Drosophila melanogaster: one gene and its partner. The protein of the gene in region 2 interacts with the protein of the main gene of each other region in a pairwise test. Each region holds a gene or a part of one and is shown on either strand. Other genes may lie near its edges. The genes, in order: CG8004 and CG9393.

Region 1 (8,394 bases), on a different chromosome or scaffold from region 2:
CAGACAGTGCCGTCGTATCCGCAGGTGCAACCCTCCATGGGCGGACTGTTTCCCACGCAGCCAACGCCGTTGCCGCCGCAGATGGCCCATGTGTTTGCACCACCAGTACCACCGCAAGCTGGCGCTGCTCCGGCGGCAGGCAACGACGAACTATCCGGACCGGCAGTGAATCAGGCTGGAAACTAAGACTTCTACTGGGCCAACTGCTAATGGACCAACTGCTAAACCTGGACAAATTGTTAAGCTTTTATTTTCGAGAATCATCTGATTGTTTTGTATGATTGCGTTAGCAAATATCACAAGTGGCGCGATTGGTTCGGCCATCTGCATGCAAAGATGTGTACATTGCATTCATAATAATAATCTAAATTAATTATAACAATAAATCAATAAAACTATATGTGTATTTAAGGTCTTTACATAAACGAGAGTTCAATTTCTTCAAAAGTATGAAAAGGAAAAGGCAGCAATGTTCAAAAATCAAGACTATTTTTTTTTTTGGTTTGCTAAGAAAACAATTTATTTGATGTATTATAGCAAATACTTACACAATTTTATTAGCAGAAAAGTTATTTGCTGCAAAATAAATGAAGTAAAGATCGTTAGAAGTATTTTAGAATTCCATTTAAACAAACTTGCAGATTGAGTCACTTGTGCAAATGATATTCACATGGATTTTTGGACATTAATGGCAGCAAAATCACTAGAACAACTTTTTTTTTTAAATGCTAGTAGCAAAATAATTGTGACTTACGGCGACGATTTGTTTTAAGGGCATTTAGAATTGCATATATAAGCGGTTAAAAAGAAAGGACAAGAGCAACTTAATTGATAAGCATTTAAGGCAACGACTACGTATAACTAATTTGGTAGGCACCTCGTCTGAAAGTACTTCTCATCGACGAAGCGACAGAACTCGACCAAGTGCTGGAACTTCTGCACCGTTTGGGCCAGCGCCATGTTCGGCAGCGTGGTGGTCAGAATGCTGAAGAGGTGGCCGAAGGCGATGGCGTCCAGTTCGCAGGGCTGATCGCCGTAGAAGAATGGCGTTTCCGGCGACTCTTTCAGCTTGTATTCGAGCGTCTCACAGCACTTGGCCACCTTGTCAATGACGCTATCGATGTCCAGGTCGTCCCACTGATAGACCTTCAACAGACGCAGCGCGTTCCGCCGCTTTCCATAGTTCTGCATGTGATTGAGGGGCCAGGGAAAAACGACTCCGTTCCTGGGCGCTGTGACCTCTTTGTAGACGCGTTCGTTCTTGAAGCTAATGTACAGCTCAGCCATGGTGAAGATGTTCTCCACCAGCGACACATAGGTGCGCATGTCGGCCTTCTCGTCCTCGTCCTGCCAGCTGCCAATGGCCAGTTCCTTCTGCTCCACAAAGTTCACGATCGGCTCGAATTCGGCAAAGATGAATGCTCCTGCGCGGATGAAGGGCAACTTGGTCATCCTGCCGCCCGGCGACATGTGCTCCGCGTTGGCACAGGACCGAATCAAAAAGGGGAGGTTGCACATCTTCAGGTAAGCCTTCACAGCAAGGCAACTGGCGTTTTCCGGCAGTAGGATCTGTTCCGCTTCATACGGCTGTTTTTTTTAATGCACATTAATGAAAGGTTAATGTTAGTGAAGATTCTGGACCTATAAACCAGGACCTTACCTGGTAGAGGGTGGCGTCTTCGGGCCAGGGCTCGGCGGACAATTTGTCGGCCGTTATTAGCTGGCTCAGGTACTGGGATGTCATTGTAAATTAACGGAGTAAATTGTGTTTTTCAACTTGCACACCGAAATCGCCGATGAAGTAACAAGCAGCTGTTTGTCGGCGTTGCCAGACTGTTGCAGACAATGACCAAACAGCGATTCTTATTAGAAATTGCATTTCAGCAAGATTCGTTAAACTAATTAATAATTTCTTTTTAAACCCATACTTACAAAGTATAAAATAGATTTAGGGGAAGCTGTTTCAAAACTAAAAACTTTTTCGAAAAGCAAGTATTTTTGGACAGCAGTGTGAACGGATGACTTCTTCAAGTCCATCTCGCGTTTTGGTATTCTGTCCACCAAAGCATACGTTCACACTTGTAATTCTTATTTTATATTATTTGCTTTGTTTAAAAGTTAGTTATCAAAAGTTGTTAAAAATATAACATACAGTTACTTTTCAGTGATTAATTTTCAGAGATCGTACTATTTGATTAATTTCGCATATTAAAAGGTGAGTGCGCGTCGTTGCCAACTTGCAACTGTGTGTGTGTGTGAGTGCGGTGCCTTCCAATGCATTTTACATAAAAAAAATATTTATAATATTATTATATTAATTTAATACAAGCTGGCATTGATAGCAAATGTATGTAGTTGGGTGACTGCAGGCCAAGAACCACTCCCAAAAATTCTACTTGAAAATCAGTGACGATTCATGTGCCGGCCTCAGTGTGAGTGTGTGTGTGTGTGAGCTGGTGTGTGTGATTCATTCGTCTGGGGTTTTAACATTCTTCGTGCACATTTCTTTATCAAAAAAAGAGAAGAAAAAAAAGTGGCATGGTTCGTACTTTTCCCTGAATTATCCCCACACTTTGTCTTTGGCGGGGGGTCCTCTCTCTCTCTCTCTCTCTCTCTCTCTCTGGCAAGCCCTCTCGCTTGCACTTCCTTCGACGCTGGCACATTTGTTTGGAATTCAAATTTTCAGTTCGGTCAGATTGTTCTTGAAATTACCTTTTCTCACCCATCCTTAATTGTTGCGATTGTATTTATTGGCCCAAACTTGCGTTGTTAGTCCGAAAATTTTTTGTTTATTATTTTTTGCCATTCCCACACAAGCACGGAGAGAAATTGTGAGTGCTTTTCATATGCCTAATTTGGAAATATTACGATGAGATCTAAAAACCGATACTAAGATTCAAACTATTGATTTTTAAGCACCAATAATATTTACATTTACAAGTAAAAAACAGATAGATAGATAGATAAATATTTATTAGCTTTGAGAATTTCAAAATATGTTTTGTATAAAATTGAGAAATACATCATTATTACTACTGTATGTACACATGGGCCTGCAAAATCGTTTTGTATAGACACAATTTTATTACCTCAACAACAACTCGATGTCAAGTAATAACAATTCAATTTCATGTATTTTTTTTGCCCGGGTACACTGCATATGTATGTACATATATATAAAGCCAAATCTGGAGAATCGAGAATTATTATTGGCCCAACAACATTCGTTGAAAATGGACAGAGAGCTGGCGACGTGTATTTAGATAGTGGAAAACAAAGCAAGATAACAATAAAGCCATTTTCCGGGGGGCGGTGGGTTTGGCTTTTTGTCGCCAGTTCCCAGTTCTGGTCAATATTATTCAATGCCGATATCCGCTCTCTCTCCCTCCGTCGAGTTCGCCTGCCTTATCTAACTGCCGCTCCGTATTTGGTTGAACCTTTTTTTTTACTTTGCGAGCGGACCAGCTGCAGGTCGAGCGCCCCTCTCTGCCCCGCCCCCTAGACAGAGAACACGTCAGTTCATCAATGCGTTAATAATTGAAATTTAATCAATATTATTGAACGGGCTTATGAAGTGGCTACATTTGTTCGCAACGGAGGCACTCGTGTTGCCAAAAAAGTAAATAAACCCGCTTTATGGCCAGCGAATGATAACGTAATCAGTAGCGAAGTATATGGAATATGTTTGCGATCGTTGTTATTTGAATTTCAATATTTAACATTGTAATTTGTAGAAACAAATGTACTAACTACTCAACTATATATTTAGATGGCAGGTTTTTTTTTCGAATTTCTTCCCTGCATTGTTAAGTTATGAGCTCAACTCTCCTTAGGGCGACAATTTTCAGAAGAAAAAACACTCTTCCTACATTTTTTGAATGAGGAATACTTTCATACACTCCGATACGATGTAGCAGATATGGTGGCGCACATGCCATTAAAATGGAGGCATATACATATGTGTATAAAACAACATCATTATCGTCAAAATGTTACTCACACTACTAAAAATATGCCTATGACCCACAAGCTTCACCCAGAGAAACCGACGCATACTAAGCAAAATCCGAAGCAATATTTAAATGTAATTGATTGATAAACAAACAATTGCCTTTGGACAGTTCTAGGTTAGCAATCATGGCCGAAACAGAGACGAAGCACCATCCCGAGCACCACGACGACGATGTCCACGATGCCAACTACCAGGCGCCGCCGGAGAAGACCATCGAGGAAATAATGGCCGCCGATCAGGAGGATGAGAGCTTGCGGCGCTACAAGGAGGCGCTCCTGGGTGCCGCCCAGACCGAGAAAATTATTGTTGGTAAGGGGCGGTTAACTTGGCCTCTGAAAGTGGAGGGTGCAGAATATACTAAAGCAATAACATTTTTACCCAGAACCCAATGATCCCCGAAAAGTTATTGTAAAGAAACTGGCCCTCGTTGTCGAAGGACGCGACGACATGGAATTGGATCTTACCGGTGACCTTAGTCAGCTGAAAAAGCAGGTAAATATCATTAACCATCATCATCCATTCGACTACTTTTGTTAATCAAAACCCTATTGCGACAGCTTTTTGTGATCAAAGAAGGTGTTCAGTACAAGGTGCGCATTGATTTTATTGTGCAGCGTGAAATAGTCCATGGCCTTAAGTATGTTCAAAAGACTTCTCGCTTGGGTGTTAATGGTGAGTATTTAAACATGACATTTGTATTTTTAATTGGCAGAATATAGAATAGATTTACACTCTCAATTCTATCAACATTATATGTCTTTACTTAGGGCAAAGCAATTATATTTCTTTTTTGTCCTACCCTAATTTTCTATTAATTGATTTATTTATTTACTGACCTAGTGCCCTAGTATTGTAAGAATAAAATTAAATTAAAACCGGGTCAAAAGATACTTGTTTTTAGTTATTTTCCATACGTTACACTATGCGAGCACTTCTAGGTCTTCAATTTTCCGTGCTGACGCGAAATCGTTAGTATTACACCTCAGTTTTTGATTGACTTTTGTGCGGGCTAGTCGAGTTTTGTTTCTAGCAATGGGTAAAAGCTGGTTCAATGGCACAACCATACTGGTGGGATTTTGCAGTGCTGCCTATATCCTTTTTTTCACAATTGCCATACTAACTTTAGTCATGTGTTGAGAATAACTTGTATTCCATTATCTCCAATGCCAAACCCTAATTTCGGAATGTATAATTTTTTAAGTTGTGGGTAAGCTGGTGCAGCCCATCCGCAAATGTGTATCCTTACTAAACTGACTGTTTTCGCATTACTCCATAGTTGACAAGATGAAGCATATGGTTGGCTCCTATCCGCCGAAGAAGGAGATTCAGTTCTATTTGACGCCCGCCGAGGAGGCACCTTCAGGCACATTCTCCCGCGGCACCTACTCGGTCAGTTCGGTCTTCACGGATGACGACAAGCACATACACCTGGAGTGGGACTGGACCTTTGAGATCAAAAAGGACTGGGCCTAATTGGCACACCGAACAGCACACAACAAACACACACGACACACAACTTACAACATACATCATACGCTTTTTGTTTTCCCTCAAACATGCCTTGTAAATGAGTTTAGTTTTGTTCCAAAAGTGTAAGCGAATTTTTCCAAAAGTGTAATTGATCGTCAAGTATTTTTGTTAACGGTATTAAATTTTAAATATTTTTGTAACTAAAGTGTAATGTAAAGCCATGATAAGTATTTTTGATACCCTATTTGCAATTGGAATGTGTGCAGATGAAGAGCATTTTTCGCCTAAGTCCTCCTCAATGAGAGTCAAGTCAAAACCAAGTCAAGTCACTAGGCCAGTCAGTCAGTCAGTCAGCCAACCAGTCAGTCAGACAGTCAGTCGTTTGGTTCTTAATGCCATTGCCTATGTTTAACATACATTTTCAAACAGATTAACAATTGAGTAATTAACTTTAAGAAAGTTGTTTGCATTTCGCTGTGTATTTCAAATTGAAGAATGGAATAGTTTATTGTAAGAACAAGTCGCCTCAAAACTAAAAAGAAACCGATTAAAATCGTGCAACACGAACTGTTAAATGCAACTAAAGCTGATGCTTTATTATGCATTTGAAGTTTGTGCAACATGGAGTTACTTAAATCCACATTATTCTAACTATATATCTCTGTGTATTTTTTGTGTACAACATACCATATATGCGAAAGCTGATTGAATGCAACCGAAGAGCAATAAAGAATAAAGGATACATATTTTAAAATAAATGCCTAAGTGAGCGAATTCTTTTTCCATGATATGGGTATCCCATAAATTATAGTGGCAGTGTGTGCACAGATTTCTCCGTAGCCAAAGATAAGTTGACTTCACACTTTATAATGCTTATCAGCTTACATTGCCAAGGGGCAAACGTCATAAATTGTGGCCAGCAGAGCGAGTATTACTCATCCGCCCTGTGAACGGTCACCAAATATTTTTCAAGGTGTACAAAAGAGAGAATTTGTGAAACACACTTCTCTGTTTACATTCGCAACCAGCAACAAGTGGCCAGCCTCTTGTTGCGCCAGACATTAGCAGCATGTTGCCCAACAATCGCCGCTTCAGAACAGAAAATAATAATAACCGCATTTTATATTCCAACGCACATTTGTCTTCAGAGTCGCGAAAACCTGCATGAATAAGCAAGTTACTTTTTCGGAAATTGCTATAGTTGCCAGCAGAAAAATGGTGTAATTTAAGAAAAACAAATCATTTGTGTTTTCGGTAAATGGCCTGGGGCATTCGTATGTTTTTTGGGGTCCTTTAAGGGTGCGATTTTCCAGGATGTGGAACAAAACAATCAGAAAAATAAGTACACACTGTTTTCATTACGTGAGAAGTAATTACAGGTAAGCAACTAACAAAAACTTACATGTATACATAAGAGAAGTCTTGCTTGTTTCGCCATTTTCATATATTTCCTCATAGCAAAAAATTATATATACTATATCTTTTAATTCACTCAAATGGTTTAGCAGATATATGTCTTTTGGTATGGCCGTTCAGCTCGACTACTCTTAACATTACCTTTGAAATACCAATATTTTTGCATCAAACAGGAACGTCTATCTCTGTCCGTCGAGGATGTTTTGATTGACAGACGGCCCGTCGAATTTCAGCCTTCAATCGCATTGTTCAATCCGACATTCCAACATTCCGCACTCCCCATTGTGTGGCAATGTGGCCTTTTGGCCCAATGCTGCCAATTGTCCCGCCGCTGCACCTTTATGGTCCATTGCATCCGGGCTGGGGCTCAATGAAATTTGCAGCAAAGCTGCTGAGCCAATGGAAAAAACAGGAGCCGTCCAGAATGCGGATAATAAAGTAGAAATGAAATGCAATCAAAGAGCAGGCCAGAAAGCGCAACAGGCAAAGTGCTCACACAGCACACGCAAGCGGAAATGCGAATGGTGGCCATTTTGTCCCCGTGTAGGTAGGCAGTGCTGCTAACGGTACCTTGTTGTTATTTTACACTGAGAGAAATGAATGCTCGCTTAAATCAAATTGTTGAATATTACTATATTCATTATTCATTATGTCTTATGTAATAATACTTATGATATTTAGAAAGAAACTTCATTTGGTTTATTCAAGTGTAAAACCTTTTATATTTTTTAACATTTTTTTAAATAAATAAATTTTGTATTTTTTTTCGAATTCATCCCCATCACTAGCACTAGGATTATTGGCATCTGTTCCACTGGAAAAGCCATGAAATGCAGCTGATGTCAAGCCGCACAGGCATCGCTGTAAAAATGCATATTTAATCTCTACAAATGGCTATATGTATGCACAGCTTTTATAGCCGCTAATGGGATTTATGTGTTTGCATTTATGCAATTTGCCCATTGGCATGATTTTAAAAAATATATATTTAACTGTTTTACATATTCTTATCCTGTTTCTCCTGGTTAACAAGATTTAATAATTTTCACACAGCAAACGGCAAAACGGACAACACAGCATTTGTCCACAAAATATGGCATATACATATGTATATAGTAGTCAAATGTGGCAAAATTAAACTTCCTTTGTTCGAAATTCAATTAATTTCATTTTAGATCTCATGTATGGGCATGCACCTTTATTGAATACCTTTTTGCTTCTATGGCAAGTTTTTGCTAAGCCCATTTAAGCATAATTAAATCCAACAAAGATTTGGCAACTTTTCGGTTTCTGCTGGCCTCTAATTTCATATGCGGGTCAGCACACGGAGCAACGTGCGAAACTTTCATCCTGTTCCCAGCCAAAAGGGGCCAACGTAGCGTATGATGAATTTTATTGCACACTCGCAGTGGGCTGTCTGTGGAAAATATATAGAAAGCACCAAGGGGGGCGGCTATTGTTTTTATTATTACGTTTTCTTCTTATGTCTATATAAA
Region 2 (8,892 bases):
GCAGCCACCCTGCTGGGCCCCAAGAAGCCCAAGCCCGAGGAGTTCGTCGAGGATGTGGTGGATGATCCCGCGGAACATGGCGGCCGCATGCGTAGTTTCAAGCATGAACGGGGAAACTGGGCCACTTACGTCTATGTGCCGGCAACAGCATGTGTTGACCAGCTGGAGGAGTTCCAAACGGAGGCCATTGCTCGTCTGGAGCCACACTTGGAACTGCAGCCGAACGAGTCGCTCCATCTGAGCCTGAGTCGAACAGTGGTGCTGCAGTACCATCAGATCGATGAATTCTCCCGATCCTTGCAAAGCGCCCTCAACAGCTCTGCGGGGTGAGATGTTTAACCAAGTTAAATCTAGTATCTCCCATCCTGATGACCAATCCTCTTTTAGATTCGCCGCCACTTTGCAGGGGCTGCGGATCTACACGAATGAGGAGCGAACCAGGACCTTCATTGCTGCGCCCCTGGACGCTGCATTTGTGGAGAAGATGACTGCCATTCTGCAGCCCATCGACCAAGTGATGCTCGACTACCGGCTGCAACAGTTCTATGATCCGGCCTCGTTCCACGTCAGCCTTCTTTGGTGCGTTGGCGACCAGGAGACACTGCTTAACGAAAAGCTCACGGAGTTAAAAGAGCTCCTTGATGATCAGGACAAACTCTGCCTGGCGGTCAATGAGGTGCACCTAAAGTGCGGCAACAAGGATTTTACCTACTCGTTGAAATAGGATATTGCCAGTCTTTAACTGAATCATAAATATTTATGCATGCTGATCTTTCAATTGGAATGTAGTGGAAAATATATATTGACTTTATTAGGTATCAAAAATGTAATCTGTTCCATATTAGCTCATATATATGAACATATAAATTGTAGTTTGCTAATAAAAGCAAGATTGTAAAGCAAGCCATAGCGTTGAATGAATGGTTACCATTAGCAATCCAAAGATGTTTCCTTACAAATTAGGCTTAAATATAAGAAGTCCAGTGATTACCTTTTAATTAAGACCCTTTTTCTTGTTACCATTTCCCTGCTTGGCCGCCTGCGCCTGCTCCTCCAGTAATCGCTCCTCCTCCAGCTCCAAAAACCGCTGACGACGGCGGCCGAGCGGGGTCTTCGACCACCAGGACTCGAAAGCTTCCTCCTCTTCGCGGTAGACGGGATCTCGTGAGCTGAAAGGCATGGAAACTAACAACTAACTAATTTCATAGCCAAATCTACTTACCACAGAACATTGATCAGTTCGGCATTGGTCAATGGTTGGGTGCGCAGCTGGAGTTTCCGCTTGCAGGTCATCACCTCCTTGAGGCACGCATCGATGGACCCAATGGTATAGCCATCTGATATTTTGGCCATGGCGCTGGTGTCCAGATTGGAAATGCCACCAGAGTAATCGCTGTCGGGGTGCAAACCAAATCAGTAGATTATTTTGCAAATGAATCCCCCACATTTACGCACTGTAACAATGTTTTCCAGGCATGTGACATGGCGCCGTAATCCGGTCGTGGAATATAGATGAACCGATTGTAGACGGATTGCAATAGCTTTTGATCCGCCTCCCAGGGCAGATTGGAAGTGCCAATGAAAACGACGCGATCCTCGGGCGCAATGTTCTTTATCAACTTGGGCAGATCCTTCTTCAGTCGCTTGGGATCTGTGCGATCCGTCTTTGGAATTTTCTTCATGAAGGGCCGCTCCGCATCGCCCATGAATATCACCGCAGGCTGGAGCAGTCGCGACACTTTCAGTACCAGATGGATTAGCATTATCAGTCCCGATTTGCCAGGATACTTGCCAACAATATTGGCAGGAGTCAGATCAAAGAGCACGGCACCCACCTCCGTGCAAATGGCGTGGAGCAGTGCCTTCTTCCCAGATCCTTTGGGGCCAGCTAACAGGATGGAACGTATCAGTGGAGTACAGTTATGTATGGCATCAGATCCCAGTGGAAGGATGCAGTACTCCGTGAGAATCTGGCGAATGTCGCCCGGTGAGGGATTAGTGCCAATCCTGGCAGTCAACGCCTTATCGCCCAGGAATTGCTTTAGCCTTAGCTCCGGGTATTTCCGGATTATGCCATTCGTGACCAGCTCCTCGTACAGCGACTCCGTAGTGCGATCCGGCGTTAGATCCTTCTCCTTCTTCTTTTTGCTCTTCTTGCCGGATCGCCGAGTTTTTTTGCTGCTCTTCTTCACCTTCTTGCCGACGGCCGTTTGGAGCAGCTCGATCTCCTGGCGCATCACATCGTCGACGGCGCGCCGAAATTCTAGCTCCACCTCCTGGTACTTGTCGCTGTAGATCATGTCCTCATAGGCCGCTTGGCTCAGCACACCGGTTTCATCCTTATCACGCCAGGTATCGTTAAACCTGAAGTTGTAAAAAGATTAAATTTGGATCAATTTATTATATATCTTTACTCACAGATCGATCTCCGCACGGATGTCTGGCAGGCAAACGGACGGTGCCGGCTGGAAGCTAACTTCCTCGTCTTGGTTTTCGTTGACGTTGAGGTCACCACTGCGAGCGGGTGACTTGGACTTATCCTTGGTCTTTCGCGACTCCTTGGAGGAGCGGGCCGACGAACGGCTGTGCTCGCTCTCAGTTCCAGGTCTGCTGAAAATATGCAATGAGCCGCCCTGATCCTCGGATGGAAAGTCCGGCAGCTTGCCAGTCTTGTCGTAGCAGTCCTTTACCCAAGCCCGAATCTCATCGGCAATGTCCTCCTTCATGCTGGCTCCGTGCTTGGCCCGAATCTCCTCCTTTAGTGCGTTCTGTCGCTCCTCAAACTCTTTGCCGTAAAACGCTTGCGCCTGGTAGCGCTTCTCGTTGTGTTGCAGCTTCTCCAGCTTCTCGGCTCGTTCCTTAACCACAGCCGGCGGTGGTGGCAGCATTCCGATTAGGATCATCTCCTCCATTTTGCGGCGCCGCGTTATCCGTCGGGCTGTGTGGCCACGCCACATCTTCTGAATCTTCATGGCAGCCAAAAGACCAGAGTCACTGCGCTCCTTTTCGGTGCGCTCCTCCGACTTGCCCTTCTCCTTTAGGATGCGAATCTCCTTCATGAAGTGGGCACGCAAGCGTCCTTGTCGCGCTCGCTCGTGCATTTGAAGCATCCTAATGGCTTCGATCTCGGTGGTAACCGTCTCCTCCAGCTCGTGCTCCTCAAGCCAACCCAGCTTCGTTAGGATCTCATGCATGGTCTTCTTTCGAAACTCTAGCTCCTGCTGACGCTCGCGCAGAAAGTAGCGTGGTATCCTCAGCTCCGTTTCCATGGGCGTCAGGCGCAGGCGTTCCACCACCTCGTCGTTGTAGCTAAATTCCATCAAGTCGATATTTACGAGATCGTGCTTCAGCTCCACCACTCGACCCAGACAGGCGTCTAGTAATTTACGCACCAACTGGCGCTTCTGAGGCTGAATCATCTATGATGAAAGATGAGAAGTAAACCAGAGTCAAAGGATATATCATCTCCTTATATATATCCCACTTTTGTTTAAGAAAGTCGTATACCCACATTATCATAGACATCCTCCAAACGATTGCTCAGACATATGTAGCGCAGATAGAACTCGTACAGACTGGACTGCAGCAAGGCCTTGGCATCCGCATCGGCGGCGACGGATCCGACCGCTGCATTCATGGTGGCCACCGTCGTCTCCACATCCTGGTGCTGCCTCTCATAGTCAATCGTGGATAGAAGCTCGCATTCATGCTGGGATTGGTGCCAGATATCATTGAAATATGTGCTGGACATGATGGTCAATGATACTCCTCCAATGAAAAATCAGATTCTTGTTTGAGCCAAACGAAACGTTGCCTGGGAGTTGCCAAGGAACTTTTTGCCGAAACGGGGTGGAATTATTGCAAGGACAACGAGAGTTTAGTAATTTTGTACACACATAGTTGTATATAATACATTTTGTCCAAGGCGTTGCCTGGTGTTACCCTCGAGAATAACAATAAATATGTTTACATGGTTACGCTTAAAAGGTTAAATAGTCCAATGGATTTGAATTGGTACAATGCATGGAATACCTTAATACATAATGCACATTCATATTTAGTTAATAAATAGTTAACAATATAATTGGGGCTATCTAGTCAAAATAGACTTTAAATGTTATCCGTGGAACAGTACTTGATCATGGATTTGGTGTGCTTAAACTGAATGCCACTAGTGGCGGCCACGACCTCTTGGATAAAACTCTGCGAGTTATGGATGGTGGTGCCGCCAAGAATGACTTTATAGCCGGCGTTGTTTAACTGGTGCACCGCTAAGGCTTCCTCGTACGTGGCACCGCCAATAATGAACACGACAACCTCCTGCGGTGGTCGTCGAAATGGCACAAGCTCTGAATTGATGGCCGGGAAGAGGGGATCCAGCTCGCGGCCCTTAAACACGTCCTCCAAAGTTTCCTTCAGGAGAGGAGTGTGCTGTGTGAAGACATTTTCCACACCCTTAAGGCCCTTAATCAAATTCCGTGTCAGCTTTACGGCGTCCGTTATCCGCACCATATTGAAGAGATCTCCTTGTCGTACATGGGTTCCAGCATACTCAATCAACGATGGCACTATAGCCGCTCGTCCACCGCGCGTTTTGATTATTTGCAGCAGTCCAGATGTGTCGCAGTTGGCGTGTCGCTCGTATCGCAATGCATAAAGTGCCACCAACTTAAGAGCATCATCGATGGAAACCCGTTCGTCGGCAATTAGTTTTTTGATTCTCTGCAGCTGGGCCGAGTGCTCCGCCTTGCAAGCGATCTCCTGTTCAAGTTCGGAAACCTCGAAGAGATTCCTCTTGTTGCTCAGCGCCGACAGTTCTCCAATCACACACAAATGCTTTTGCACAGTGCCAGACATTTTTTTAAACTGCGGATATGACTCAATAAAGTTCTTCATGTCTGCTATGCTCTCCACTTTCTTGTGGTCGTTCGCCTTGCGCTGGAACTCCTCCATCAGTTGTTTGATGGTAGATCCGATTTCGCCGTAGTTGGCGTACATGTTGTTGCCATAGAAGTCATCCTGATCACCGGATAAGACCAGCTCCTTGAAGTCTTTCGGCACATTGGGGCAATTGGACAGGTCCAATCGATTGTTTTTTATGTGCAGCAACTCATGCACCATGGCCTGGTATGTCCACTGATGCAAAAGCGGCGTCACAGGATCGTCCCTGCGGTCCAGCACAAGCAGCAGCGGTGGCGCAGCGCCATCCATGTTGGAGCGAAAGTCGAATAGCGAGGACTCTTTTGTGATTTGCTCGTATATGAGCTTGGCCAGAAGCTGCGCTGCCTGAGAACCGGCTCGGTACCGGATCACTGGGTTCAGCTTAAGGGACAACAGCACGGCTGTGATGCCCTGCATGCTGCGGTTGAGAGCGTCCGGCAGCCAATTAAGATTCGCCATGCAATTGGGAATGCCTAATGAGAACAGATTGGGGTTGACGCACAGGTAGTCTGCATACAGTTCCTTCACTTCTCGCACCGATTCGGATTCGTCGCACTCTGCCAAGTATTTAATGTCCGTCCGGGGAATGATGTTGCTGAAATCTATTTATGAGTTTAGTACTATTCCGAAGGTGCTTCTACTGACCCACTTACAAATGTAGTAGGCGCTGTATTTGGGGTTCCGCAACTCGTTGGCCAGTAGCTGGATGTTCTGCTTGGTGGGGCGTATAAAGACGATGCATTTTAGATACTTTAACCGCTCGTTGGATCTTCCCGAGTCCAGGCGCTCAAATAGGTACACCTCCCGTTGCAGCATGTCCGATTGGCTAAAGGCCATCGAAATTATACTGGTCTGCGAATGATGTGAATTTTTGATCATATGGCAGGGGATTTGATTGTCAGTCCTTGCACTTACCGTCTCCTTGTCCAGCAGAATGATTTTCATGCCCGGTCCCGACTCGGAGCACATTTTCTCGATGTACAACTTAATGCCGCTTATCAGATTCATGACTGCTAACTAATTTACTGCGAAAATCAGAAATTAATGTTTTTTTTCGCAAACAGATGGGTTGGAGATGCCCCAATTGCGATAGCTCCGTGATAACAGCGGTGACCAAACATTTGGGTAACATTCGCTAGATCTAGCTAATGTAAAATAATGTGAATATGTAAAAATGCATATAGATAAAAACTTACAATTTTTTGGTAGTATAATAAAAATAGCAATAAAGATAAACATAAATAGCAATTAAGCTCAAACATAATTCCGTATCTTTTCATTAGCCAAAATAAACTTCGAGTAGCAACATCCCTGGCCGGCAATCGATAAAGCGCCGATATGCTCGAGCGATATATCGAGTGCCCAGTAGTTATCAGTCTGAAGCACTCGCAGCAGTCGGCCAGAAATTCTGGCATATATTTTTGGATTCAAATTCGGATGGCTGATATGCAGGTGGACTGTTGAAAACCGGCTAAATACAAGAGTACGAGCAAAGCATAGACTAGGACACAATGGAGATGCAACTGGGAGCCATGCTGTATGTGTACAAGGGGGAGTACGGACTGCCGTCCATAGATTTTGAATGTTTACGTGCTCTGGTAAGTTCCGTTGCATCACACGGCGGCCAGCACGCCTGTTTTGCCCATTATCGCAGATGATGAAAGAAACTGATGAAAGCGCCTCTTTGCCGGAAACAGTGCCTCCTGCGATTCACCCGCTGCCCCATGGACGTGCAGACCAGCTCCAATCCGCTGCGTTCGGGAGCCGGGAAGCTGCCGTATCTGCAGATCGGCAACCAGAAGTTCGCGGGCTATAGGCAAATTAAGCGCGTGCTGGATCTCGAGGTGAGTGAGCAAAACAATGCCGGGGTGAACAAACTGCAGGCTCTATTTATAGATATGTGTTTTTTTATGGGCTTAATTCGACGTATTCTTTCAGGGTTACCCGATAGATGCGCATTTAAGCACTAAACAAAAGCATTTGTCCACCGCCTACGCCAACTGGGTGTTCACCAATCTGCATGCCTACTACCACTACTTCCTGTTTGGAGAGCCTCACAATTTTGACACAACCACGCGGGGCCTCTACGCCAAGCGCACGCCATTCCCCTTCAACTTCTACTACCCGTCGTCCTACCAAAGGGAAGCCTGCGACGTGGTTCAGGTGATGGCCGGTTTCGATGTGAACGACAAGTTGGACAAGCACGAAGGCGACTACGTGAGTGCTTTCAATTTCATATTGTCTCATATTACATTATTGTATCTTTAAATCCGAGGATTTTTTAATTTGTTTATCTAACCTATGTTTTACACCCAAGCTGCATTTCGATTGGAAACGTTTCATCAGTTTATATTAATAAGAAACAGTTTCTCATGTATTGGTCTTTTGTTATCAATATATCTTATCAATGTTGTGAAAAGCAAGACGTTTCTTTAACTATCAATTAATCATTTTACTTTACAGCTCGTTGTCAATGCCAAAAAAGTGGTGAACCTGCTCTCCCGGAAATTGGGTCGCAAGGTGTGGTTCTTTGGCGACACCTACAGCGAGTTTGATGCCATTGTCTACAGCTATCTTGCCATCATCTTTAAGATCGCACTGCCTAACAATCCACTGCAGAATCACATTAAGGGCTGCCAAAACCTAGTGAACTTTATCAACCGCATCACGAAGGACATATTCCGCATCGAGGGATACAGTTCCGTCAAGCTCACAAAGACACCCAGTGGCACGGAGGCCAGTCTGACGGCCTCGGAGCGCAAGTTCCTAGACTCCGAGCTGAACACCAAAATAGTAGCCGGCGTGGGAGCCGTCTTGGCCATGGGAGCGTTTGCGGCATGGCGTGGGATTTACAACCAGGTGGGTATTTTTGGCTGAAATTTGTAGTTCTTTACTCTTGACTTGATGGAGCTTATTCGATAGTTCTGGTTCAATGTCTTCTGTTGGCTCCAGACACTCTTGTAGACAGCCTCAGCTTGAGCACGTGCAAAATTCTCAGTTAATTGCAAATTCCGATTGATTCATCCTTGCAGCTAACGACACGCTCTTCGACGGACTACGATGGCATAGATTACGAGGATGACGAGATGGAGGAGGGCCTAGACTAATCGCATCTCTGCAACGATATCTATGTGTATAGTATATATATTTTAAAATACAATGTGGGGATGAAGCACAAAAACTGTCCAGCTTTAAAGGTTTACCTAAACACTGAAGGAGATCGATTTACTTGGCCATAAATCTTTGGACCGAAAATTTCGTCAGGTAATGATCCCCTCGTCGTAGATAACGCTTCGTTCCAAGGATTTGCCAAACAAATCGACTAAGTATGAAAATTCGGTTTATGTATTATAGTTCGAATTCGTTTTTAAACTGTCTTGTATAAAATAGCATTTTAAAGTCATCTGAGCGTAATAAAATTGGATAACAGAGCCCTGTTGTCATGGAAAAGACAAGCGAAGCTTTCTCGATGTCCAATAAGAAACCAGAATTCCTCGATTGGAGTTGGATTTGGTTTATTACACACTAGTCTTAAATGTAGATTTCGAATAGGGGTCAATACGATAGAGATGTTAGAGCCTACAATGGAATTGGTAGATGCATGGGGGTTAACCATTGAACTCATGTCTTGAGTGCATCCTGCAGCTTTCGCCGCGCAACTCCGACCCGATCCTCCTGTTTGCGTATGTCGTCCTCCGAAATGATCACCGCGTGCATTAGCGGTTGTTCAGGATTCATAAACGCCATGGCATTCTTGGTCAAATCAGCCTTCGTAGAACTCTGGCCGTGTACGCCGGCGTTGAGCATATGCAGGGCCGTGGCCACCGACTGGAGGACGGTCTGTTCGTTGACATTGGGGCCAACGGTGCGTATGGTCTTGGGCAGTGAGATGTCGTCTAGCTCCTCGCCACTGTCGTGGCAGGCGCGTAGTCGTTCCAGTCGCTTCTCCCA

What was found.
Region 1: the proteins of CG9393 (region 2) and CG8004 interact in a two-hybrid assay, tested with the Drosophila melanogaster proteins (2 studies listed by BioGRID).

The regions. Positions count from the first base shown.
Region 1 is NT_037436.4:19,926,694-19,935,087, forward strand, and holds CG8004 (uncharacterized protein), read right to left. Parts: upstream 1,816-8,394; 5' UTR 1,745-1,815; coding exon 1,661-1,744; intron 1,588-1,660; coding exon 862-1,587; 3' UTR 501-861; downstream 1-500. Other genes in the region: Grasp65, read left to right, coding at 1-186; RhoGDI, read left to right, coding at 4,138-4,321, 4,395-4,504, 4,570-4,684, 5,289-5,485; CG46462 (uncharacterized protein), read left to right, coding at 5,045-5,149.
Region 2 is NT_033777.3:9,561,083-9,569,974, reverse strand, and holds CG9393 (uncharacterized protein), read left to right. Parts: upstream 1-6,301; 5' UTR 6,302-6,452; coding exon 6,453-6,539; intron 6,540-6,638; coding exon 6,639-6,785; intron 6,786-6,879; coding exon 6,880-7,158; intron 7,159-7,404; coding exon 7,405-7,800; intron 7,801-7,863; coding exon of another isoform or gene 7,864-7,905; exon of another isoform or gene 7,906-7,973; coding exon 7,974-8,048; 3' UTR 8,049-8,392; downstream 8,393-8,892. Other genes in the region: CG16790 (uncharacterized protein), read left to right, coding at 1-326, 388-724; CG16789 (uncharacterized protein), read right to left, coding at 995-1,169, 1,223-1,393, 1,456-2,364, 2,419-3,419, 3,512-3,751; Vps45 (vacuolar protein sorting 45), read right to left, coding at 4,111-5,543, 5,595-5,793, 5,857-5,949; MBD-like (Methyl-CpG binding domain protein-like), read right to left, coding at 8,563-8,892. UniProt on the Drosophila melanogaster protein: Involved in transport of proteins into the mitochondrion. Essential for embryonic development.